Macaca mulatta: one gene and its partners. The protein of the gene in region 1 interacts with the protein of each later gene in a biochemical or structural test. Links are inferred from orthologs where the notes say so. Each region holds a gene or a part of one and is shown in the gene's direction. Other genes may lie near its edges.

Region 1 (3,500 bases):
CATAGGGAGACAGTCTGACTCTGTCCCCCGGCTAGAGTGCAGTGGCCCTGTCTCTGCTCACTGCCACCTCCACATCCCTGGTTCAAGCAATTCTCATGCCCCAGCCTCCCAAATAGCTGAGATTACAGGCACATGCCACCATGCCCAGCTAATTGTTTATATTTTCATTAGAGTTGGGGTTTCACCATGTTGGCCAGGCTGGTTTCGAACTCCTGACCTCAGGTGATCTGCCTGCCTCAGCCTCCCAAAGTGCTGGAATTACAAGCATGAGCCACCACTCCCAGCCTCTACAAAAAAAAATTTTTAATTAGCTGGTGTGATGATGTGCACCTGTTGTCCCAGGAGGCTGAGGTTGGAAGATTGCTTGAGCCTGGGGAGGTCAAGGCTGCAGTGAGCTGTGGTTATGCCACTGCACTCCAGCCTGGGTGACAGAGTGAGACCCTGTCTCAAGAAAAAAACAGAAAAAGAGGAAGAAGAAGATAATGATGTACACAGATCACAATCCAGGTGCTGGCAAATGCCTTTACTTATCCAAGTCCTCACACCTGGGGGAAAGCAAAATACAAATAAGTACTCACGGGCATTTTTCTCAGAATTCTTATAGGTAGGAAGTTACTGAAAATACTATTCCTTTATTCATATCATATCTATCTATTCTGACTTTTTTTAATGCTTGTTAATTATCTTCATATACATTGAGGCTGTGTTTTGTTATTTCCCAGCAGTTAATAATGCTCAGATATCAAGAGATTCAAGAGTTTTGTTTTTTTGTTTGTTTTTGAGACAGAGCCTCACTCTGTCACCCAGGCTGGAGTGCAGTGGCACGATCTTGGCTCACTGCAACCTCCACCTGCCAGGTTCAAGCGATCCTCCTGCCTCAGTCTCCCAAGTAGCTGGGGTTACAGGCTCATACCACCACGCCCAGCTAATTTTTTGCATTTTTAGTGGAGACGGGGTTTCACAGTGTTAGCCAGGATTGTTGTCTCCATCTCCTGACCTCATGATCCACCCGCCTTGGCCTCTCAAACTGCTGGGATTACAGGTGTGAGCCACCATGCTTGGCCTTTTTTTTTTTTTTTTTTTTTTTTTTGGAGACACAGCCTTGTTCTGTCACCCGGCTGGAGTACAATGGCACGATCTCAGCTCACTGCAACCTGGGTCTCCCAGGTTCAAGCAATTCTTCTGCCTCAGCTTCCCGAGTACCTGGAATTACAGGTGCCCACCACCACACCTAGCTAATTTTTGTATTTTTAGTAGAGATGAGGTTTCACCATGTTGGCCAGGCTGGTCTCAAACTCCTGACCTCAGGTGATCTGCCCGCCTCGGCCTCCCAAAGCGCTGGGATTACAGGCGTGAGCCACCATGCCCAGACTAGAGTCTTTTAAATAAGTGTGGAGAGGGTCTCATGCAGTTGCCATTTCAAATCAAGGTCTTCGATTTCTGGGTTTTTTTGCATACAGATGGCGGTTTTAACACAAACCAGTTCTGGTCACGTCTGGAGGGGAGGAAAACAACCCACAATTCAAATCTGATTTTTTTAAAAGAGTGAAAGAGATGAATTAGGGATAGAATCCAGGATAGATTGGAAAGGAACTGAATTAAGCTAGAAAAAATACGTACAGGGAAAGGCTAAGGACTAAATCGGAGGTGAGGGGAATTCATGGGCAAAAAAAAAAGCCTACGCTGTTGCATTTTGTAAATGACTATTACGAAGTATTTTCTTTCCTTGATCTCATTTAAAGGTGGTACTTTGGAAAACTTGGCCGAAAAGATGCTGAGCGACAGCTATTGTCCTTTGGAAACCCAAGAGGTACCTTTCTTATCCGCGAGAGTGAAACCACCAAAGGTAAGATAACGAGTTGAAGAAGTTGGCTTGTCATTCAAATCTGTGGATTAGTCAGAGGGGATGAAAGGCTTATCTGTAATGTACAAGGTTTTTAAAATGGCACATATCCTCCCTGCCTTATGAGTGGAGTCCTGTTTTCAGTCTTGCCTCCAGGCTCTAGAACTGCAGACAGCACCAAAAGAACTACAGAGGCTCCAAATCAAGACCTTCCTCCTGAAACAGGCTGGGGGCGGCTTTACTGCTCCGGGCACACAAGATCATAGAATTTTCAGAAGTCCTTTAGAATTTCGATTTTCTGAAACTCTTAGTTCCTCGGGTGCCAGTCATATGGGTTGTTTTTGCTTTCCTTTTGTTTTTTAAATAACTGAGGACTTCACTTCTCTTCCTCCAACTGTTGGACTTTTCATTATTTAACCACTCATTACAGCCCACAAGAGGAGATAGGTCAAGGAAGAAAAGAGTAGGGGCCTCTAGCTTAATCCACCAGATTATCTGTTCCTGTGGAAAGTGTTGTAAAACAGAAGCTTGGAGCTCACTTCTAGAGAAAAAAGCCTTAGATTTCTTTTGCACATGCTGCCGCTACCTCCCAGTATGCCCCTGGGTAGAGAAGACAGGGGAAGCAAACTCAGCCGTGCATCGTGGTTCTTCTCTCTACCCTGGAGGGAAGGAGTGTCGGAATTGAGTCTACGCTGTATTATACAACAAGGGTGACTGAGCAGTGTGTTTAAGAAAAATATCCAGGAAGCTTTCAGTCTCAAGTGCAGAATTATTTTACTGCTAATATCTTCTGACATTTGCAGGACATCAAGAAGCATCTTCTTCCTGTTCCTGAGTGGAGATGCTGTGTGTGTGTGTACATGTGTGTGTGTATCCTTGGTAATTATTAATCAGAGTCAAGAAAATGAGGCCTAAAAAGCAAGCTAATAGTCTAAATGACTAGTGCTGCTAATGCTTTGCTTGTTTACCAGGTGCCTATTCACTTTCCATCCGCGATTGGGATGATATGAAAGGAGACCACGTCAAACATTATAAAATTCGCAAACTTGACAACGGTGGATACTACATTACCACCCGGGCCCAGTTTGAAACCCTTCAGCAGCTTGTACAACATTACTCAGGTAACCTGAATTCTAACTGCCTACTAACCGTGTGGATGCTGGAGGGAGTGGATAGGCCCAGAGCAGGAAAGTGGAAAGGGTAAAACTAATTATGTACAAAATCACTCCTAGAATATGTTTTCTTTGCCAGCCCTTAATGGTGGGACTTGGCTGAATAGGTTCTATTGCTGTTGTTCTACTGTAGTTGTTATTATTAGTTCCACATGTTTGTCCAAAGATCCTATAATATTTTTGTTTCCCAAGTAGAAAGCAATAGGTTAAATTGTAAAAGTTGTTTGTCTTTTTATCTTCATCCTAAAATACTTCAAGTTGTCTTTTCCCATTCCCCCTGCATTGCATATGAGGAAGGAGTCTCTCGGAGGGCACTTACATGGGGACTCCTACAAGGAATACTGGCTTTCCACCATCACTTTACACTCAGCACTGTTGCAGGAATAGCTGCACGTACATTTCATTCTCATGCAAGCCATTTATCATGTTCCCCACCAATACTGCTGTTTCCTAACTAGACTTAGACTTACACGACCCACAGCTCT
Region 2 (4,019 bases), on another chromosome or scaffold:
TATTTTAATGTGTATTTAAAATGTATATATATTAAAATATTTTTAATATTGATATTAAAAGTGGTCAATTGGGCTGAGTGCAGTGGCTCATGACTGTAATTCCAGCACTTTGGGAAACTGAGGTGGGAGGATGTCTTGAAGCTAGGAGTTTGAGACAAGCCTGGGCAACATAGCGAGTCCCCATCTCTACAAAAATAAATAAATAAATAAATAAATAAGTCAGGTGTAGTGACTCATGCCTATAATCCCAGCTACTTAGGAGGCCGAGGCAAGAGGATTGCTTGAGCCCAGGAGTTTGAGGCTGCAGTTAACTACGATAGCACCACTCCACTCCAGCTTGGGTGACAGAGTGAGACTCTGTCTCTATTTAAATAAATACGTAAATAAATAAGCTGGGCAAACAATGAAAATGAAAACATTGTGAAATACAAAGCAGTTCTGTGGGTTCCACTGTTTGCAGCCTCTGATCTAATTTCTAAAGAGGGTGTAGCAGGTTTTTTAACCTGTAAATTATGGTGATTGGCAGGTCAGGGTAAATGGTAGTTGTGTGTGGGGAAGCGATGATGGCAACAGGTGTTTTCCTCCTGCAAAAACGAAAATGTGGGAGTGACTTCTCTGGCCATGGCTCCATGGTCTCTCCCCTCAGAGCCAATTTCAGTAAAATTTTTATAGTTTAAAAAATATGGTTCTGAACAATTTTTGTTAGAGTTATTTTGGTATTTTTAAATAGTTTTTTGGTCGTATACATGGTAGAATTCTTAACATTATACAATTGTAATGTATAAAAAAGGATACAATTATAATTCATAAAATTATAGCCCCACTGGCCATTCTCCTGTAGCTGGGAGCAGTTCACGCCAACAGGGCTCTACCCCAATGCTGACCTGCTCTACAGGATCCCAGGAAGGTGAGCATAGCCTACCAACCTGTTTGGGTAGTACAGCGATAGCAACTGAGGCTTCCAAGGCTTTCGTCAGAAGATTGTGGGCGGAAACTTCCAGGGGTTTGCTCTGAGCTTCTTGAGGCTTCTCAGCTTCAGCTGCAAAGTGAGTGGGTGTTTCTTTGAGAAGCAGAATCAGAGAGAGACATAGAGAAAGAGAAAGACAGAGGTGTTTCCCTTAGCTATGGAAACTCTATAAGAGAGATCCAGCTTGCCTCCTCTTGAGCAGTCAGCAACAGGAGTCCTGTCCTTGACACCTCAGCCTCTACAGGATTGAGAAGTAAAACCGTTTGCTGGGGCTGGCCTGACTCACCGGCTGCCATGCAGCAGCCCTTCAATTACCCATATCCCCAGATCTACTGGGTGGACAGCAGTGCCAGCTCTCCCTGGGCCCCTCCAGGCACAGTTCTTCCCTGTCCAACCTCTGTGCCCAGAAGGCCTGGTCAAAGGAGGCCACCACCACCGCCGCCGCCGCCGCCACTACCACCTCCACCGCCACCACCACTGCCTCCACTACCGCTGCCACCCTTGAAGAAGAGGGGAAACCACAGCACAGGCCTTTGTCTCCTTGTGATGTTTTTCATGGTTCTGGTTGCCTTGGTAGGATTGGGACTGGGGATGTTTCAGCTCTTCCACTTACAGAAAGAGCTGGCAGAACTCCGAGAGGTAAGCCTGCTGGCAGACTGCTGTGCCCTGGAGGCACCAGGCATAAGGGGGTGGAGGGCCCACTGCCTGGCTTGCAAAGTGCTTTTCAATCCTTTTTTTTTTTTCTTAGAAATGGGTTGTTCTAGTTATTCTATTCTATAGGCAGAGAAATGGAGGCTCATAGGAGTGAAGGGAATATTTTTTATTTTGTAAAGAATCAGAGCCCAACAGTTTTTCTTTCCTCAGTTGTCAACTCAGTCTGTTGAACCACTTACTGCCTCATACCTAGTGATTTAAGGAGTAAAAAACAAACAAAACTTTTAAGTTTTGCTTGGAAGTAAATTTGTTCAGATGACCAAACTAAATCTTGAAAATACTTAAAATACTGGTACGATTTCAAATCACAAAACTGAGGGACAGTGAAGCAAAATTGCTTGACCAAAGCCTGAGTCAGCAAAAGTTCTGAGGTATTTGGATTCTCTTTCCAGGGCTTGGTTTATTTGACGATTCTGTCTCTTTTGCTTAAATAATTTTATTTTTATTATGCATCTTTTTTCTTTCTCTTTTACTAGTCTACCAGCCAGAAGCATACAGCATCATCTTTGGAGAAGCAAATAGGTGAGTCCTTTTTCACATGTACATTGAGTTCCTAAAGATGATCCTCAGCACTGAAATATGTTAATGGAATGCCTTATATTCTGTCCTACACTTTGGCTTATGTATACTATGAGAGGAATCCTGGCTAATTCGGAATCTCTGGTCAGTATGATTCCTTGAGCTGCTTTATAAATGTGAAGTGAATTGAATTGCTCACAATCAATATAGCTGAGCACGGCACACAATTCAAAATCACTTCCGCTTGACTTTGGAAAGAGACACACATATACAACCGTGGACTTTTGCCCCCTGAGCAGTGGTTCCAGGCCTGTCCCCTTCCACAGACACCCTGGTCCTGGCACACATGCCAGTGGCTATGACTTCTGGGAAGAGAAGGCGAAGTGAAGGCAGAGACAGATGTTTCTGAGAAACGTCCTCTCCTCTTTTAAAGCCTCTAAAGAGATTACAGTGAAACTTTATTTACAAAATGTTTTATAGGACGTAAGCTTTTAAAATGTGGCTAATCAATTCCGTACATTAGAATGGTTTTTCTTGAAGTCACTGAGAAGCTGAAGGGAAGACTTCAGCCATCATTCAAAGGATGTTCAGCTTCAGAGGCAGTCATGAGGTACCCTTGATCACAAAGGAAAATCCTTTGTATGGGAGCTAGGGCAAGAAGACGATATGTTGGAACACTGATCTCGTGAAATTTCAGGGCATAGTTTTGCAAGCTCTGTACAGATGGATTTTACAATGTGCTTCACTAGCCTAAGATTCATTGAAATTTTAGATTTAGATTTACAATGAGATTCACTGAAGGTTTAGAGTTGGAAGGAAGCTTAGAATATCCAGTCCAGCCATTTCATTTTTTTGGAAGAGAAACAAAATGCCAGACGGATTAGGTGAATATGCCCAAGACCCCTAGTATGGAACTGGGGCTAGAAGGAACACAGGCTCTTGATGCCTTGTCACCTACAGGGCTTTCCGGTACTGGACTGGTGCCTCATGAAGTAGGGAAACTCCTGTCTCTCTGTAGTGAGCATGGAGTGAGAAATAGAGGAAAAGCAGGATACCTCTGCAAAGACTATAGATAGATCGCATCCTTAGAAACTCAGAATAAAGAAGAAGGCAGCACTGGCCATCTATTAAGTGAAGTAAGTTTCAGTTTCTCTGGATGTGGCTACTGCAGGCAACCCAGTCGCCTGTCTACTGTCCTAGACTGTTAAGTTCTTATAGGAGCCACTGTTGGGAAGCTCTGGCCCCTGAGTCTGTGTCCTAATCCTTAAATGTTAGAAAGTCCATATGTACACAAGCAGAGTGGAAATATTTGCTAGAAAAATAAAGCCTCTGGAGGATGTCTCAAATAAGATCATTTTGAAAACCTGTGGAATGTGCCTGGTCTGATAGGTACCTAAGCATTCATCTTTTACCTCCTCTCTGGAGTCAATTTAGTGATTAAAAATCAAATGACCAGACGAGTCATGTCCATCTACCCCAGTAAGCAATTATCTTCTCTAGATCAACCCAGATGAACCAGAAATTGTTAAATTATCACAAGGAAATCAAATCAGTAACTTTACTAATAAGAAAAGAGATGCAAACTAAAAATAGGGAACACCAATTTTCATCAAATTAGTAAAGTTAACAAAAACCCAGACTGACAAAGATTTGAAAGAAAAGTGCTGTTTAAACATTAGTTTCAGCCAGTATACATGTAAATTGCTATAACTTTTTCTGAAGAGCACTTTAGAAATACATATCAAAAGCTTGAAACTAATAGTTTATGTTGTAATCCTATCACTAAGAATTTCTCTTAAGAAAATAATCAGAGATGTGC
Region 3 (3,500 bases), on another chromosome or scaffold:
TCTGATATTTAGAATGTTCCACTGATTTTAGGGAGTATATGTATTTTAACTATTCTCAGTGAATCATATAAGCTTTCAGTTGCTGCTCATTCCTTGGGCACTTTTCCCTCATCTCTGTTAGAACTCCTGTTATAGCACTTAACTATACTTCATTGCCACCCCTATAGTCTGGGAACTCCAGTATATAAACAGTGAAGACAGAGACCAGTCTGACTCGCTCTGTTGTATCTCCTGTGCTTTGCAAGACAGATGCCTGGCTCTTAGTAAGTCCTCCATAGTGATTAATGATTGTACCTATTATAGCTCTCCCTTCATCTGCCTCTCCATACCGTAGGAAGCACTCAAACACTTGCAGTCACTCAATGAATGAAGTTCCTTAATGGTAGGAAATCTTTTTTTTTTGTTTTTGTTTTGTTTTTTGTTTGTTTGAGACGGAGTCTTGCTCTGTCACCCAGGCTGGAGTGCTGTGGCCGGATCTCAGCTCACTGCAAGCTCCGCCTCCCGGGTTCCCGCCATTCTCCTGCCTCAGCCTCCCGAGTAGCTGGGACTACAGGCGCCCGCCACCTCGCCCGGCTAGTTTTTTGTATTTTTTAGTAGAGACGGGGTTTCACCGTGTTAGTCAGGATGGTCTCCATCTCCTGACCTTGTGATCCGCCCGTCTCAGCCTCCCAAAGTGCTGGGATTACAGGCTTGAGCCACCGCGCCCGGCCAGTAGGAAATCTTTTTGTATGCCAAGTTTCTATCTAATGAAACTGTCTTAACCTGTGAATTGAAAGTACTTTTGGGTGATGATGGATATGTCTGTGGCCATAATGGTGGTGATAGTTTCATGGGTGTATACTTATCTCCAAACTCATCATGAATTGTATACATTAATTATGTATGGGTTTTTACATATCAGTTATACTTCAATAAAATGTTTTTTTAGAAAGTACCTTGTGGCTGGGCCGGGCGCGGTGGCTCATGCCTGTAATCCCAGCACTTTGGGAGGCTGAGGCAGGTGGATCACCTGAGGTCGGGAGTTCAAGACCAGCCTGACCAACATGGAGAAACCCCGTCTCTACTAAAAATACAAAATTAGCTGGGCATGGTGGCACATGCCTGTAATCCCTGCTACTTGGAAGGCTGAGGCAGGAGAATCGCTTGAACCCAGGAGGCAGAGGTTACGGTGAGCCAAGATTGCACCATTGCACTCCAGCCTGGGCAACAGGAGTGAAACTCCGTCTCAAAAAAGTACCTGGTGCATTTTGTATCGTTTAGACATTGGCTGAATTTGGGCTAGATAATGGTGACAATATATTAAGTACTTTATGAAAAATTGCCTTTAATTAGGCATATCTACATATTTTATTAACTTCTCTTACGTCACACAACTAGTGAGTAGCAGAGTAAGAACAAGGTCTTTCAGACTCTTAAGGACTAGTATCTAGAGTACTAATGTCACTGTGGAACTTTAATGGAACTATCCATTGTATATTTAGATTATTGATTTTTGCTTTTTTCAAGGTAAGATTATATTTTGTCTTGATGCAGATTTTAATTTTTTGTTTGTTTCTTTATTCTCCTTTCCCCATCTCACCCAATTAATTTTGTTAAATCGATTTAAGAAACATTTAAATGTCTCTATTCTCACGTGAGGCTTCAGGTGAGGTTAGAAGAGCACACTACTTTTATTAGAAGCAGGCTTTGGGCTTTCTAATCAACTTCATATAACTTTAGTACTTTCAGCTAGTTTATTTCTGAAATTGGCACATTCATGTGTACTATTTGGTCTCACTATATGGTACTTCATGTTATTGCTTTAAGCAGACTTCAAAATTTGCTTTTATTTACCAGAGCAAAAATTTAAATTGTTTTTCCTGTTCAGAAATTGAGAAGATTCAGAAAGGAGACTCAAAAAAGGACGATGAAGAGAATTACTTGGATTTATTTTCTCATAAGAACATGAAACTGAAAGAGCGAGTGCTGATACCTGTCAAGCAGTATCCCAAGGTAAGGCAAAAAGTGCCTTGCATCTTTGAGTTATCTTTATAGTTACGAGAGAGTCATGGACTCCTGGGGATTGTGATGCTTTAGAAACTTAAGCCTGTGAAGCTTCTCTTTCATGCTTGCAGTACCTGTTTCTGGCAATTGAAATATCTAAGTTCTTAACTAAACATAGTTATAGCCAGGAAGGAAATGTAATAATCTTTTTATTATCAAAAAGTTTCTTTCTCTAATGACTGCTCAGGCTACAAGTTCAAAGAAAAAAAAAAAATAAAACCTGAAGAGTTGCTCTCTGTCAAAAGACTAACCTGAAATCTAAATAAAAGGAAATATAATACAAATCCTCAATTGGATGAAGTTAATTTTATTTTCTTACTAAAAGTTTACTTTTAAGTAAATGCTTTTTTTCTTCCTTTTTTTTTTTTTCTTTTTTTAGGAAAGCAATTAGTTACATTTAGTTTATCCAGCGTGCTATCAAAGGGTGCTATATAGTCTCTTCTGCTCTGAGGTCACTGCGTTAACAATGTTTATGTATGTTAAGGCATGCATAAACAGGCACAGTGGCTCATGCCTGTAATGCCAGCACTTTGGGAGGCCAATGCAGGCAGATTACTTGAGCCCAGGAATTCAAGACCAGCCTAAGCAACATAGCAAAACCGTATCTCTACAAAAAATACAAAAATTAGCCTGATATGGTGATGTGCACCTATAGTCCCGGCTACTCCAGAGGCTGAGGCGGGAGGATCACTTGAGCCCAGGAAGTCGAGGCTGCGGTGAGCCATGATCATGTCACTACACTTTGGCCTGGGCAACAAAGTGAGAGCCTGTCTCAAAATAAAGTAAAAAATAAAATAGTAAAGGTCTTAGTGTATTATGGAAGATGGCCAGAATACATCAGAAAAGCCAAATTCAGGTCTAGGAACTGCCACTTTCTAGTTTCATAATCTTAAACTAATCACTTTATTAATATGGCTTCAGCGTCCTTCAGTAAAACGGGAATGGTAATACTCTACCTTTGCAGGGTTGTTTAAAATCAAATGAGGTAATTTATGTGGAGATGTTTTTATATAGTAGCATGTATATTTAGAAATCCTTTATTTTCTGTCAGTTCAATTTTGTGGGGAAGATTCTTGGACCACAAGGGAATACAATCAAAAGACTGCAGGAAGAGACTGGTGCAAAGATCTCTGTGTTGGGAAAGGGCTCAATGAGAGACAAAGCCAAGGTAAGCTCACATTAGTGAGGCAAGAGGACATCCTAATGCCTTCTACTTGCCCAGAATGCAGTATAGATGCCTTATAGAGGCAAGAATATTGTGTATGTACAGAATGTGGCTCCTTTAAGTGTGCATTGGGTGCAAGAGATTATACACCAAGTTAATTTACTTGCTTGGCAACCCTGGAAGAGCCTAGGTGTGCCCTGGTGATAGTTTTCTTTTGGACTTTTGACTGCATAGTAATGGACAGAGCAGTAGCATCTTGTGCATTGGTAGGATTGTCTGGGAAAACTTGAAA
Region 4 (4,061 bases), on another chromosome or scaffold:
TGGAGTGCAGTGGCCGGATCTCAGCTCACTGCAAGCTCCGCCTCCCGGGTTCACGCCATTCTCCTGCCTCAGCCTCCCAAGTAGCTGGGACTACAGGCGCCCGCCACCTCGCCCGGCTAGTTTTTTGTATTTTTTAGTAGAGACGGGGTTTCACCGTGTCAGCCAGGATGGCCCTTTTGCTTTTTAATGAGAATGTATTTCTGATTCCTTTGCAATTTAAAAAAATGTTAAAAAAAAAAAAAAACACGTCTTTTGGGGTTTGAAAGAGCTAGGATGTGGTCTTTGTGCTTGGGGTGAGCCCTGGGCACTTCGCTCTCCTGTGGCAACCTGTAGGTACCGTTTAACTGCACCACGCTGAGCTTCTGCATGGTTGGAACCTCAAGTCTGGGGGGACTGAGCGGGCAGGGTCGCCTGCCACGCAGGCCCAAGTAAGAGAAGTGGTGGAGGGGGCGTTCTCACGCCTGGCCCCAGGGAGCACGGCTGCGCCTGCCGCTCGAAACCCCACCGGAGCTGCAAGGCGTCCTCGGGGTGGGCTGAGGTGGGAGTAGGGGAGCTGGGGTGCGTGTGGTAGGTGGGGTGCGCGGAGGAGGCGGGGTGCGCACCGTCCGGGTGCGGGGCCACTCCACCTGCGCGGAAGGGGAGCCGGGCAACCGGACCCCGCGGCCACCCGGGGGCCCTCAGCTCCGAGCGGCCCGCCTTGGTCCCGACGGATCCCAGCCTTTCCTCAGCCGGAGCCCCGGGACCTCCGCGGTGGGCGACGCCGCGCTGCGGACGCAGGGAGGGCCTCGAGTGCACGGGCGCCGCTGAGTCGGGTTCTCTCGCCGGCCTGTTCCCGGGAGAGTCCACGGCCCTGCTCGGATATGCCGCCGCAGGCCCCCAGACACCTGCTCCCTCGCCCTCCTTGAGCAACCCGGAGCTTGCCTCCGCTCGCCGGCCTAGCCCAACCCCCCGAGGCCGCGGCCCTTCTGGCTCCGCCTCCCGCGTTGCTCCCGGAAGCCCTGCCCGACCGCGGCTCCTGACAGACGGGCCGCTCAGCCAACCGGGGCGGGGCGGGGCCTGGTGTAGCGCGGCCAATGGTAGGTCGCGCCGGGCTGACGGACGGGCGCGGGGTGGGGCGTGCGCGAGCCCGGTCGAGTCTCCGCCGCCCGCTCCCTGCGCCTGCAGCCCCAGCCGCACCCGCCGCGGACGGAGCCCATGCGCGGGGAGAACCGCGCGCCCCCGCCCCCGCCCCGCCCTGGCCTCGGCCCCGGCCCCGGGGGCAGTCGCGCCACTGAGCGGTGAGTGCGGGCCGGGGTCGGCCGGGCCGCGCGCCCTCCCCGCCCCCAGGCGGCAGCCATACGCGCGGCGCGGGCCGGGGGCGCGGGACCGGCGGGCGTGAGCGGCTGCGGCGGCGGTAGTGGGTGGGTGGGGCCGGGCCGGGCGGGGCCCCCAGGCACAGGTGAGCGGGCGTCGGGGGCTGCGGCTGGCGGGGGCGGGCTGAGGCCCCTTAGTCCCTGGGGCCTGCGGGAATCCGGGCCCCGCCCGTGGCCTCGCTCTGGGCACGGTCCTCACGCCGGCGTCCCCGGGAGCCTCGGGCCCGGCGCCCTCATAACCAGGCGCGTCTGGGCGGAGGCGGCCGCGGCCACGGCACGCCCGGGCACCCCCGATTCAGCATCACAGGTCGCGGACGAGGCCGGGGGCCTCAGCCCCGGGGCCCTTCCCCTCTCCGGGTCTCCCGCGCCGCCTCTCGGCCCCTTCCTGTGGCTCAGCCCCTGCTTCCCAGGAGCCCCTCTGTCTTTTCCAGCTTTCTGTGGCTGAAAGATGCCCCCGGTTCCCCGCCGGGGGCGCGGGGCGCTGCCCGGGTCTGCCCTCCCCTCAGCGGCGCCTAGCACGCAGTAGGCGCTCAGCAAATACTTGTCGGAGGCACCAGCGCCACGGGGCCTGCAGGCTGGCACTGGCCTGCCCGGGCACGCCGTGGCGCGCTCCGCCGTGGCCAGACCTGTTTAGGAGGACGGTAACCTCAGCCCTCGGGCGCCTCCCTTTAGTCTTTCTGCCGACCCAGCAGCTTCTAATTTGGTTGAGAGCGCTCAGCTGTCAGCCCTGCCTTTGGAGGCTGGCTCCCTTTTCCCCTCACTGGGTCCTTAACAGCAAGTGGGGGCGAGGCGACAGTCCTCCCCCGCGCTGGTTTGCAGCTGCACAGGTAGGCACGCTGCAGTCCTTGCTGCCTGGCGTTGGGACCCAGGGCCCGCTATGGGTTTGCTCTTCAGATGGCTCTGCCAGCAGCTGCCCTGTGGGGCCTGGGCCTGGCTGAGCAGGACCATCCTTGGCAGGTGGGGCAGGAGACCCTGTAGGACCCCGGGCCGCAGGCCCCTGAGGAGCAATGACGGAATATAAGCTCGTGGTGGTGGGCGCCGGCGGTGTGGGCAAGAGTGCGCTGACCATCCAGCTGATCCAGAACCACTTCGTGGACGAATACGACCCCACGATAGAGGTGAGCCTGGCGCCGCCGTCCAGGTCCCGGCAGCTGCTGTGGGCGAGCCCAGGACACAGCCAGGATAGGGGTGGCTGCGGCCCCTGGCCCTGCATGGTGCTCTGGGCCTGTCTCCTGCTTTCTCCAGAGAAGGGGAGCCCCTCGTCTCAGCACCCCAGGAGAGGGGGCATGAGAGGGGCATGAGGGGGCATGAGAGGGGCATGAGAGGTACAGGGAGAGGCTGGCATTGTGAACTCCCCGCATGGAGGGTCCTGAGGGGTCCCTGAGCTCTGTCCTCCTGCAGGACTCCTACCGGAAACAGGTGGTCATTGATGGGGAGACGTGCCTGTTGGACATCCTGGACACCGCCGGCCAAGAGGAGTACAGCGCCATGCGGGACCAGTACATGCGCACGGGGGAAGGCTTCCTGTGTGTGTTTGCCATCAACAACACCAAGTCCTTTGAGGACATCCACCAGTACAGGTGAACCCCTTGAGGCTGGCCCGGGAGCCCACGAGGCACAAGTGGGGTCAGGCCGGCTGTGCCCAGACAGGGGCCTCCTGTCCTCTCTGTGCATGTCCTGGATGCAGTCGTGCCTGCAGCCCCTATAGCCAGCTCTCACTTTTCCTCCCAGGGAGCAGATCAAGCGGGTGAAGGACTCAGACGACGTGCCCATGGTGCTGGTGGGGAACAAGTGTGACCTGGCTGCACGCACCGTGGAGTCTCGGCAGGCTCAGGACCTCGCCCGAAGCTATGGTATCCCCTACATTGAGACCTCGGCCAAGACGCGACAGGTGAGGCAGCTCTCCAGCCCACAGGTAGCCAGGGACTCGCCCCGCCCCGCCCCAGCCAGGGAGCAGCACTCACTCACCCCTCTCCCTTGACACAGGGCAGCCGCTCTGGCTCTGGCTCCAGCTCCGGGACCCTCTGGGACCCCCCGGGACCCATGTGACCCAGCGGCCCCTCGCGCTGTAAGTCTCCCGGGACGGCAGGGCAGTGAGGGAGGCAAGGGCCGGGGTCTGGGCTCACGCCCTGCAGTCCTGGGCCGACACAGCTCCGGGGAAGGCGGAGGTCCTTGGGGAGAGCTGCCCTGAGCCAGGCCGGAGCGGTGACCCTGGGGCCCAGCCCCTCTTGTCCCCAGAGTGTCCCACGGGCACCTGTTGGTTCTGAGTCTTAGTGAGGCTGCTGGGGACACTGGCCATAGCTCAGATGAGAGCTGGGTGCAGGGTGGTCAAACCCTGGCCAGATCTGGAGTTCAGGAGGGTCCTGGGCCACCCTGACCTTTGAGGGGCTGCTGTAGCGTGGTGCAGGTGGCCCTGGGCTCTTCGAGATGACCAGAGCCCAGCTTCCTGTGTGTGTGGTGGGCCTGGGGAAGTGGCTGGTGGAGTCGGGAGCCTTGGGCCAGGCACGGCTTGATCGCACAGCAGGGAACCCCTCACCTAGGCAGGGGGCCACAGGCCTGTCCCTCCTGATCCCATTCCTCCTTTTCCAGGGAGTAGAGGATGCCTTTTACACATTGGTGCGTGAGATTCGGCAGCATAAGCTGCGGAAGCTGAACCCTCCTGATGAGAGTGGCCCCGGCTGCATGAGCTGCAAGTGTGTGCTCTCCTGA
Region 5 (3,500 bases), on another chromosome or scaffold:
CGAAAACAACCTAACAATTTTTATTCACAGAGAAGCATCCAAAGAAAGAGAGAAGAAAAGAGAAAAGGAGGAAAAGAAGAGGTTAGAGCTGGAGAAAAAGGAACAGAAAGAGAAAGAAAAGAAAGAACAAGAAATAAAGAAGAAATTTAAAGTAAGGGCTTGCTTGCTAATGGGTGAAAGAATAACATCTTTTTATACCTTTCACACAAAAGGGGTACCATTCTTGAAACCTTACATAGTTGAAGAATTACTCATTGTTTTCTAAAGAGTAATTATCTTCATAAAAGTACTTTTTTGTCCAATACACCATCTTATCCCTTAACTAATATAATAAAATTTTTAAAAATATGGTGGTTCATAATTAGTGGGCACCCAGGAAATTTATGTGGATTGAGTGAATGAATATTTACTTTTTCAAACCCATCTTGGCTCTCCCCATAATGCATTTCATATTAGCCTGCTTCTACTATGAATTAGCATCACACACATAAATATCCCTATGGTATGTATTATAGTGGGGTATTGGACACAGGTGTCTCCAGGGTGAACCAGACCTGTCTCAGAATAAGATTTCCATGAGCTACTCTAATTGCTAGTATCTAAACATGAGTTACATTATTGCCTTTATTTTAAGTCTGTGTACATGCTGACTTCTGATACCTGCTGTTTCTCATCCCTCTTTGTCTATGTGGATTCTGACCCCTGTATTCTCTGATCTCTGGTAATTGTGTGTCTTCTACCATTACTACCACCAGTAAACGCTACACTCATGGGCTATTTTCTCCTGGCTACACTATCTTTGATGACCTGGCTCATGTGGCATGGGTCTGGCATGTCAGACATATTTAGGGTGATTATCTGAATTACAAAATTATTCTTTCAAAAAGAATTCACAGTATGCTTTCTTTAAATATTTATTTCTCTGGAGCATTTAATATGTGGCTCAAATTTTTAAAAAATGATTTATATATAACTTCCCAGAATATTTATTGTATTAAAGCAAAGGTTCAAAGCATGGTGCAAGGAAAACATATAGCATTAAGTCAGTTAGACGAACTGATTCAAATTCCAGTGGTACATACAAGTTATGTAATCTTGGGCTTATCACTTAACTTTTCTGAGCCACTGATGCTTAATCTTTTAAGGGAGAATAAATGATACTACTCCAGAAAGTGTGTTACGGAACTAAAATAATGCATAGCAGGCACTGTATCATAAGATTCTCATTTGATTTTGAAAAAGCTCGCTATATATGAGTAAAATTATGATTACAGTATTAATATTAGAACATTTTACTTACACAGAATGCATGACTACCAATGTTTATATTTTCAAGGGAAAAAATAATTTCAGTTAATTTATGAAAAATCTATATAGCATACTTTCCATGGAGAGCTTGTTTGTAGATTTAAAGGAATTATGTGAAGTTTTTCCATATGTTTCTTTTGGAGAAATCAGCTTTACATTATTTCACTCATTCATTCAAATAATATTTTTAGTGAGAAAAGATAGGGTATGGAAATCATACCATTAAATATGAACTTAAAAGTCTGTCAAGACTAGGACTTCACCACCTATATTCCTTTCACAAGATGATAACACATAATAGGTAAAAAAAAAAAATTAAATAAATATGAGAACTGAGCCTCATCAGCATCATGGCATATCATAATTTAACTTACATTCTTTTCTTTATTTCTTAGTGGTACATGATAATGATATATGTTTATAATTAATGTCATCATAAATTCAATAAATTAAAGGTAGAGCTTCTTCAAAAGTCGTAATGCATATTTGCATATTTGCATATCAAAAGATTCAAGAAATTCTGTTGAAAAGACACCAATTTAGGATTAGAAAATTAAGAATATGGGATTCATGGTCTAACCAAGATCATTACCCTTCTATCAATAAGCCACCATACTATTCAGAATATTAATTTTAAAGACCTCATGTAACATTTGCTTGCTATTTTTTGATTTGCAAGCTCATTTCTGAAATTTTGTCTTGTTTACAGCAGGTAATGTCTGCTTCAATTTTACAAACAATGAAAGGGGAAAAAACTCCATCTTCCAAATGGAATCCTGGCATATTCCATAAAGACACGTAGCACACAGCATGGATTGTTGTACATAAGTGCTATTCAGTTATTGGGGGCTGCCTTTACAGGCCTCTTGCAGAATTCCTAGGCCAACAGATCCCTGCCTCACTCTCCTGACCCCATGCACATATTCACCTGTCCTTAACGGGTCCTGCTTGGCCCCTGTAATTTTTTCCTAACCCCTCCTGTAAGAAAAGCATTCACCCTCAATTTCTTTTCTTTTTTTTTCTTTTTTTTTTTTTTTTGAGACGGAGTCTTGCTCTGTCGCCCAGACTGGAGTGCAGTAGCCGGATCTCAGCTCACTGCAAGCTCTGCCTCCCGGGTTTATGCCATTCTCCTGCCTCAGCCTCCCGAGTAGCTGGGACTACAGGCACCCGCCACCTCGCCCGGCTAGTTTTTTGTATTTTTTAGTAGAGACGGGGTTTCACCGCGTTAGCCAGGATGGTCTCGATCTCCTGACCTTGTGATCCGCCCGTCTCGGCCTCCCAAAGTGCTGGGATTACAGGCTTGAGCCACTGCGCCCAGCCCCCAATTTCTAGTTAAACCCTGTAAATGTTGGTTATAGGTAGGTTCACAAGTTGTAGATTTAGTATCTTTCAAAATTGCATTCCTTGAAGATTTTCTAAATTATAAGGAAATCTTTTCTGATTATTGTTTTCTCTTTGCAGCTAACAGGCCCTATTCAAGTCATCCATCTTGCAAAAGCTTGTTGTGATGTCAAAGGAGGAAAGAATGAACTGAGCTTCAAGCAAGGAGAGCAAATTGAAATCATCCGTATCACAGACAACCCAGAAGGAAAATGGCTGGGCAGAACAGCCAGGGGTTCATGTGAGTGCAAATTTTTCTATGGCTTCAAAGTGTTTTCTTTGTGAGGCAATATTCAATGTGCATGTTCCTCCAGAACTCCTCATAGGCACCAAGTTAGGAGTACTTTACAGAGTGGACAAAGGGAGGAAAATGTTAAATGGCAGGTATAGTTCCGTCTTCACCTCATCTGTTATCTTCACTGTGGGAAACAATGTAAAGTTTTATATTATTCCAGGAGGAACAAACAGCATTAGGTTTTTCATTGATGTTAAAAAGAAAAAATGCTTCATGTGAATCACTTTAGAATATTTAAAATAGAAGGTAGGCTTACATTAAACTACAACAGGATTAGACTTTGACAGAGTACAGTAAAATGTGGGTCTACCTGGGAGGTCTACAAATCAGAACTATAAGAAAATAAATCAGGGGAAAGTTTAAAGAGCAAATGTGCGATTGATATTTTATTCACAACTTTAAAATATTTAAACTACAGTTGCCTGAACATAAGCCTTTCCCTTTTTGGTAGATGGCTATATTAAAACAACTGCTGTAGAGATCGACTATGATTCTTTGAAACTGAAAAAAGACTCTC
Region 6 (4,256 bases), on another chromosome or scaffold:
TGACTAAATAACATAGTACATTAGTCCTTTGCGAAAGTACTAACAAATTACCATATAAAAGTGTAGAATCATGTCAAATGTTATAAGAAATGCAACTGTCCAAAAATAATTATCTCACATTGGTCTGGTAATGAGACCTAAAATATCGCATTTTATTTACCTATTTGACTCAAAGCACCAGGTCTCAAAGAGGTCACTGTTATACTATAAATATGTCATATGAAATAATATATTAAATAATTGTTGTAATAGCCTATTGAAGTACTAGTTGTAATAAGACACAATGGAAAACTTACACTATTAACAATAATAAAAAGAAACAACAAAAAGCAATAAAAAACAAACCACCGATTCATGCAATGACATGAATCACCTCACAAATACTATGCTGAGTAAAAGAAGTCAGACAGATATAAAAAAGTTTATACTACGTGATTAGACTTTTATGACATTCTAGAATATGCACATGAAGGGTGCAAGGTAACTGTCTGGAGTGATGAAAATGTCCTGTGTCTTCAAAATAGTGTGGGTTACACCAATGCATGGTTTTTTCAAAACTGATTTAAAGGGACACAACATCTGAGCATTTCACTAGGTGTAAATTACACTGAAATTTAAAAGAATCGTCTAATGACATTGTGGTTATTTTTAAACAGTTCTTAAATTTTGTGGATGCATACTGAATGTTTACAGTTGAAAAGATGTATATAAAGCTTGAATTTTGTGAAAAAAAATAGGGAGGATTGGTAGTGATAAAGTGAGTGGACTTATGAATGAGACATGATATGCCATGCATAGAAAAAATGTAAAAGTTGGGTGATATTCACATGGGAGTCCTTTATTCTTTCTACTTTTGCGTATGTTTGAATATTTCCCATAACAAAAAGTTGAATATAGGGCGATCACCTGAGTTCATCTCCTCATTTACAAAAAATAAAACTGGAAACAGAAGGAGAACATAACTTGTTCAAGGTCTCCAAGCCAGACAACAAACTAGCTCCCAAGTCCAACCTTCTTGCTCTGGTCCTAAGCAAACACAAACTATTAATATGAGCTACTGCGTTATGGAAAGTCTGTTTTTCCAAAGGGCAGACCAATAGTTCAAGGAAGAGTTTAAGTAATAAAAATTTGTAATCTTACTTTCATGTTTTTCTATTTTCCACTGAACACATAGGCATTATCTTCTATATGTCTTTCATGTATAATCATTTGTTTACTATTCCTTGTGGTTTTAAAGTTGTTTTGTATGTTTACATTTGATTTTACTCAAATTTCAGAATCCAAATGAGTGCAAGAATCAGACAAAGCATTAGCTACAAACATAAAAACAATTTTTAAAAAACACAGCAAAAACGAGCTGTTGTCCCCGCCCCCCCCGCCGGCCCCCACCAGTGCTTAACTAATCTTCGGAATCCAGGCACAGAAAGCAAAGGCTTTCTGCTAGTGGGAGGAGCTTGCTTCTCCATTCTGGTGTGATCCAGGAATAGCTGTCTTCCAGTTCTGAAAGAGGTGAAAATGTGTTAAGCGATGCAAAAATTGTCTTGAGGTTCGCGTGTGTACGTCTGTGTGTCTGTGCATGTGGTGGGTCGGGGGAGAGAAAAGGGGATGTCAATTCTGAGGGCAACGAGAATTAGAAGTCAGAAAGGTGAGTGGCGTGTAGCATCTCCCTTTCAGAAGGGGCTGAAAAAGAAATTGGATATGATGGTCTGGTAGGGTAAATCACGCTGGATTTGTCTACCAGACCATGCACTTAGGTCTGCAAAGTAAGTCCCATTTCTAGAGCGAAAAGCCTTAGGACCGCTTGTTTTAGACGGCTGGGGAATATTTATTCCTCGTTCCGCTGATGGGAAAATCAGCGTCTGGCAGGCGCTGATTGGTGGAAAGGAAAATGGTGATAGTGGGGTGGGAAGAGGATTTGCTGAGCCTCCTCCTGCCTCCTCAACCTGTAACTCTTCCTTAGTAGTCTCCGATTCACCCGCGGGACCCTTTCGAGCTCGACCTGGATTAAGAGCAAACGAAAATCTTGAGGATATTTGAACTAAAGCGACCCTTAACGTAGCCTGTGACCGTGATTAAATGTCAGCGATGCGAGGGCAAAGTGCTCTCGGCGGTGCGGTGTGAGCCACCTCCCTGCGCTGCCTGTCTCCCCAAAGGATAGGCTCTGCTCTGGGTGGTCGACCCTCAGGCCCTCAGCTCTCCCAGGTCGACTCTGACGAGGGGTAGGGGGTGGTCCCAGGGAGGACCCGGAGGAAAGGCGGGGACAGGAAGGGAGGGGAATGGGAAAGAGGGAGAGTCGTCAGCCCAAGCCCAACCGCTCCCAATCGCCACAAGAGTGCCCGTGACCCTGAACTTGAGGTGAGGCGCAAAAGCGCCCCCACTTTCCCGCCTTGCGCGGCCAGGCAGGCGGCTGGAATTGGTGGTTCACCCTGCGCCCCCTGCCCCATCCCCATCCGAGATAGGGAACGAAGAGCACGCTGCAGGGAAAGCAGCGAGCGCTGGGAGGGGAGCGTGGAGAGGCGCTGACAAATCAGCGGTGGGGGCGGAGAGCCGAGGAGAAGGAGAAGGAGGAGGACGAGGAGGAGGAGGACGGCGACGACCAGAAGGGGCCCGAGAGAGGGGGCGAGCGACCGAGCGCCGCGACGCGGGAGTGAGGTGCGTGCGGGCTGCAGCGCAGACCCCGGCCCGGCCCCTCCGAGAGCGTCCTGAGCGCTCCCTCACGCCTTCCCTTCAAACCTTCTGCCTTTTTCTCCATCCTCGTGAGCGGAGAACTGGGAGTGGCCATTCGACGACAGGTTAGCGGGTTTGCCTCCCACGCCCCCAGCCTCCCGTCGTCGGCTCACAGCGGCCTCCTCTGGGGACCGTCCCCCTCCCGGTGCCGCCTCCGCCCTTCCTGTGCGCTCCTTTTCCTCCTTCTTCCCTATTAAATATTATTTGGGAATTGTTTAATTTTTTTTTTTTTTAAAGAGAGGTAGGGAGGAATCGGAGTTGTGGAGAAGCAGAGGGACACAGGTAAGTACCTGTGGATCTAAACGGGCGTCTTTGGAAATCCTGGAGAAAGCCGGGTGGGAGAGGAATGGTCGTGGGCACCAGGAGGGGGTGGTGCTGCGGTGAGGACCTGCTGTGCCAGGTCTCTGGGAGGTGAGTACTTGTCCCTTTGGGGAGCCTAAGGAAAGAGACTTGACCTGGCTTTCGTCCTGTCAAGGGCTTCTCCCCAAGGGCTGAGAGATTAGGATGCGTCTCCGGGATCCGCTTTTCCCCGGGAAACGCGAGGATGCTCCCTGGAGCGTAAGCATCCAACTTTTATTTCTCTCTTACCTGAAATCCGTCTGCCCGCTCTCTTGGTTTTTCTCTGTAAAGTAAGCAAGCTGCCTTTGGCAAATAATGAAATGGAAGTGCAGGGAGGCCAAGTCAACAGGTGGTAAAGGGTTAACAAGTGCTGGCGCGGGGTCCGCTAGGGTGGATGCTGAGAACGCCCCCTCGGGTGGCTGGCGCAGGGTTAGAGACGGCCCGCGAGTGTGAGCGCCGCCTGCTCAGGGTAGATATCTGAGGGCGGGGGTGGATGCTCGGATGTATTAGAACCAGCACCCTTGGGCTCGCTGTTTGCCTGAGGTTGAACCACACCCAGAGTGAGTAGTTAGTTCTCTTGCCTACGCCTCTCCACCATCAACCTGTTAGCCTTCTTCTGGGATTCATGTTAAGGATGCCCCAGACCCTAAGCCTCCAGCTTCCATGCTTCTAACTCACACTGTTACCCTTTAGACCCCGGGAAGTTAAAACAGGAGTGACTCTTTTCATGCAACTCCACTTCTGAAATGCAGTATTAACAACTCAGAGGATTCATCCTAATCCATGGTTAGGTGGCTAGACTTTTACTAGCCAAGATGGATGGGAGATGCTAAATTTTTAATGCCAGAGCTAAAAATGTCTGCTTTGTCCAATGGTTAAATGAGTGTACACTTAAAAGAGTCTCACACTTTGGAGGGTTTCTCATGATTTTTCAGTGTTTTTTGTTTATTTTCCCCCAAAAGTTCTCATTCAAAGTGTATTTTATGTTCTCCAGTGTGGTGTAAAGGAATTCATTAGCCATGGATGTATTCATGAAAGGACTTTCAAAGGCCAAGGAGGGAGTTGTGGCTGCTGCTGAGAAAACCAAACAGGGTGTGGCAGAAGCAGCAGGAAAGACAAAAGAGGGTGTTCTCTATGTAGGTAGGTAAACCCCAAATGTCACTTTGGTGTTGGTTCATGACTGATGGGTT

The links.
Region 2: the proteins of FYN (region 1) and FASLG form a complex in vitro, tested with the Homo sapiens proteins (4 studies listed by BioGRID and IntAct, with this or other methods). The link is inferred for Macaca mulatta from reciprocal best matches to the Homo sapiens genes FYN and FASLG.
Region 3: the proteins of FYN (region 1) and KHDRBS1 form a complex in vitro, tested with the Homo sapiens proteins (4 studies listed by BioGRID and IntAct, with this or other methods). The link is inferred for Macaca mulatta from reciprocal best matches to the Homo sapiens genes FYN and KHDRBS1.
Region 4: the proteins of FYN (region 1) and HRAS form a complex in vitro, tested with the Homo sapiens proteins (2 studies listed by BioGRID and IntAct). The link is inferred for Macaca mulatta from reciprocal best matches to the Homo sapiens genes FYN and HRAS.
Region 5: the proteins of FYN (region 1) and FYB1 form a complex in vitro, tested with the Homo sapiens proteins (2 studies listed by BioGRID and IntAct). The link is inferred for Macaca mulatta from reciprocal best matches to the Homo sapiens genes FYN and FYB1.
Region 6: of the proteins of FYN (region 1) and SNCA, one has a biochemical effect on the other in vitro, tested with the Homo sapiens proteins (3 studies listed by BioGRID). The link is inferred for Macaca mulatta from reciprocal best matches to the Homo sapiens genes FYN and SNCA.

The regions. Positions count from the first base shown.
Region 1 is NC_133409.1:16,778,736-16,782,235, reverse strand, and holds part of FYN (tyrosine-protein kinase Fyn), read left to right. Parts: intron 1-1,742; coding exon 1,743-1,846; intron 1,847-2,814; coding exon 2,815-2,964; intron 2,965-3,500. UniProt on the Homo sapiens protein: Non-receptor tyrosine-protein kinase that plays a role in many biological processes including regulation of cell growth and survival, cell adhesion, integrin-mediated signaling, cytoskeletal remodeling, cell motility, immune response and axon guidance.
Region 2 is NC_133406.1:30,156,216-30,160,234, forward strand, and holds the start of FASLG (tumor necrosis factor ligand superfamily member 6), read left to right. Parts: upstream 1-1,219; 5' UTR 1,220-1,261; coding exon 1,262-1,606; intron 1,607-2,157; coding exon 2,158-2,203; intron 2,204-4,019. UniProt on the Homo sapiens protein: Cytokine that binds to TNFRSF6/FAS, a receptor that transduces the apoptotic signal into cells. Involved in cytotoxic T-cell-mediated apoptosis, natural killer cell-mediated apoptosis and in T-cell development.
Region 3 is NC_133406.1:208,851,414-208,854,913, reverse strand, and holds part of KHDRBS1 (KH domain-containing, RNA-binding, signal transduction-associated protein 1), read left to right. Parts: intron 1-1,867; coding exon 1,868-1,992; intron 1,993-3,094; coding exon 3,095-3,211; intron 3,212-3,500. UniProt on the Homo sapiens protein: Recruited and tyrosine phosphorylated by several receptor systems, for example the T-cell, leptin and insulin receptors. Once phosphorylated, functions as an adapter protein in signal transduction cascades by binding to SH2 and SH3 domain-containing proteins.
Region 4 is NC_133419.1:424,686-428,746, reverse strand, and holds the start of HRAS (GTPase HRas), read left to right. Parts: upstream 1-1,261; 5' UTR 1,262-1,277; intron 1,278-1,302; exon of another isoform or gene 1,303-1,438; intron 1,439-2,309; 5' UTR 2,310-2,359; coding exon 2,360-2,470; intron 2,471-2,753; coding exon 2,754-2,932; intron 2,933-3,083; coding exon 3,084-3,243; intron 3,244-3,338; exon of another isoform or gene 3,339-3,420; intron 3,421-3,941; coding exon 3,942-4,061. UniProt on the Homo sapiens protein: Involved in the activation of Ras protein signal transduction. Ras proteins bind GDP/GTP and possess intrinsic GTPase activity.
Region 5 is NC_133411.1:40,218,986-40,222,485, reverse strand, and holds part of FYB1 (FYN-binding protein 1), read left to right. Parts: intron 1-30; coding exon 31-151; intron 152-2,769; coding exon 2,770-2,929; intron 2,930-3,434; coding exon 3,435-3,500. UniProt on the Homo sapiens protein: Acts as an adapter protein of the FYN and LCP2 signaling cascades in T-cells. May play a role in linking T-cell signaling to remodeling of the actin cytoskeleton. Modulates the expression of IL2. Involved in platelet activation.
Region 6 is NC_133410.1:99,154,553-99,158,808, reverse strand, and holds the start of SNCA (alpha-synuclein), read left to right. Parts: upstream 1-1,456; 5' UTR 1,457-1,645; intron 1,646-2,289; exon of another isoform or gene 2,290-2,355; intron 2,356-2,588; exon of another isoform or gene 2,589-2,792; intron 2,793-2,964; exon of another isoform or gene 2,965-3,009; intron 3,010-3,492; exon of another isoform or gene 3,493-3,626; intron 3,627-4,060; 5' UTR 4,061-4,085; coding exon 4,086-4,206; intron 4,207-4,256. UniProt on the Homo sapiens protein: Neuronal protein that plays several roles in synaptic activity such as regulation of synaptic vesicle trafficking and subsequent neurotransmitter release.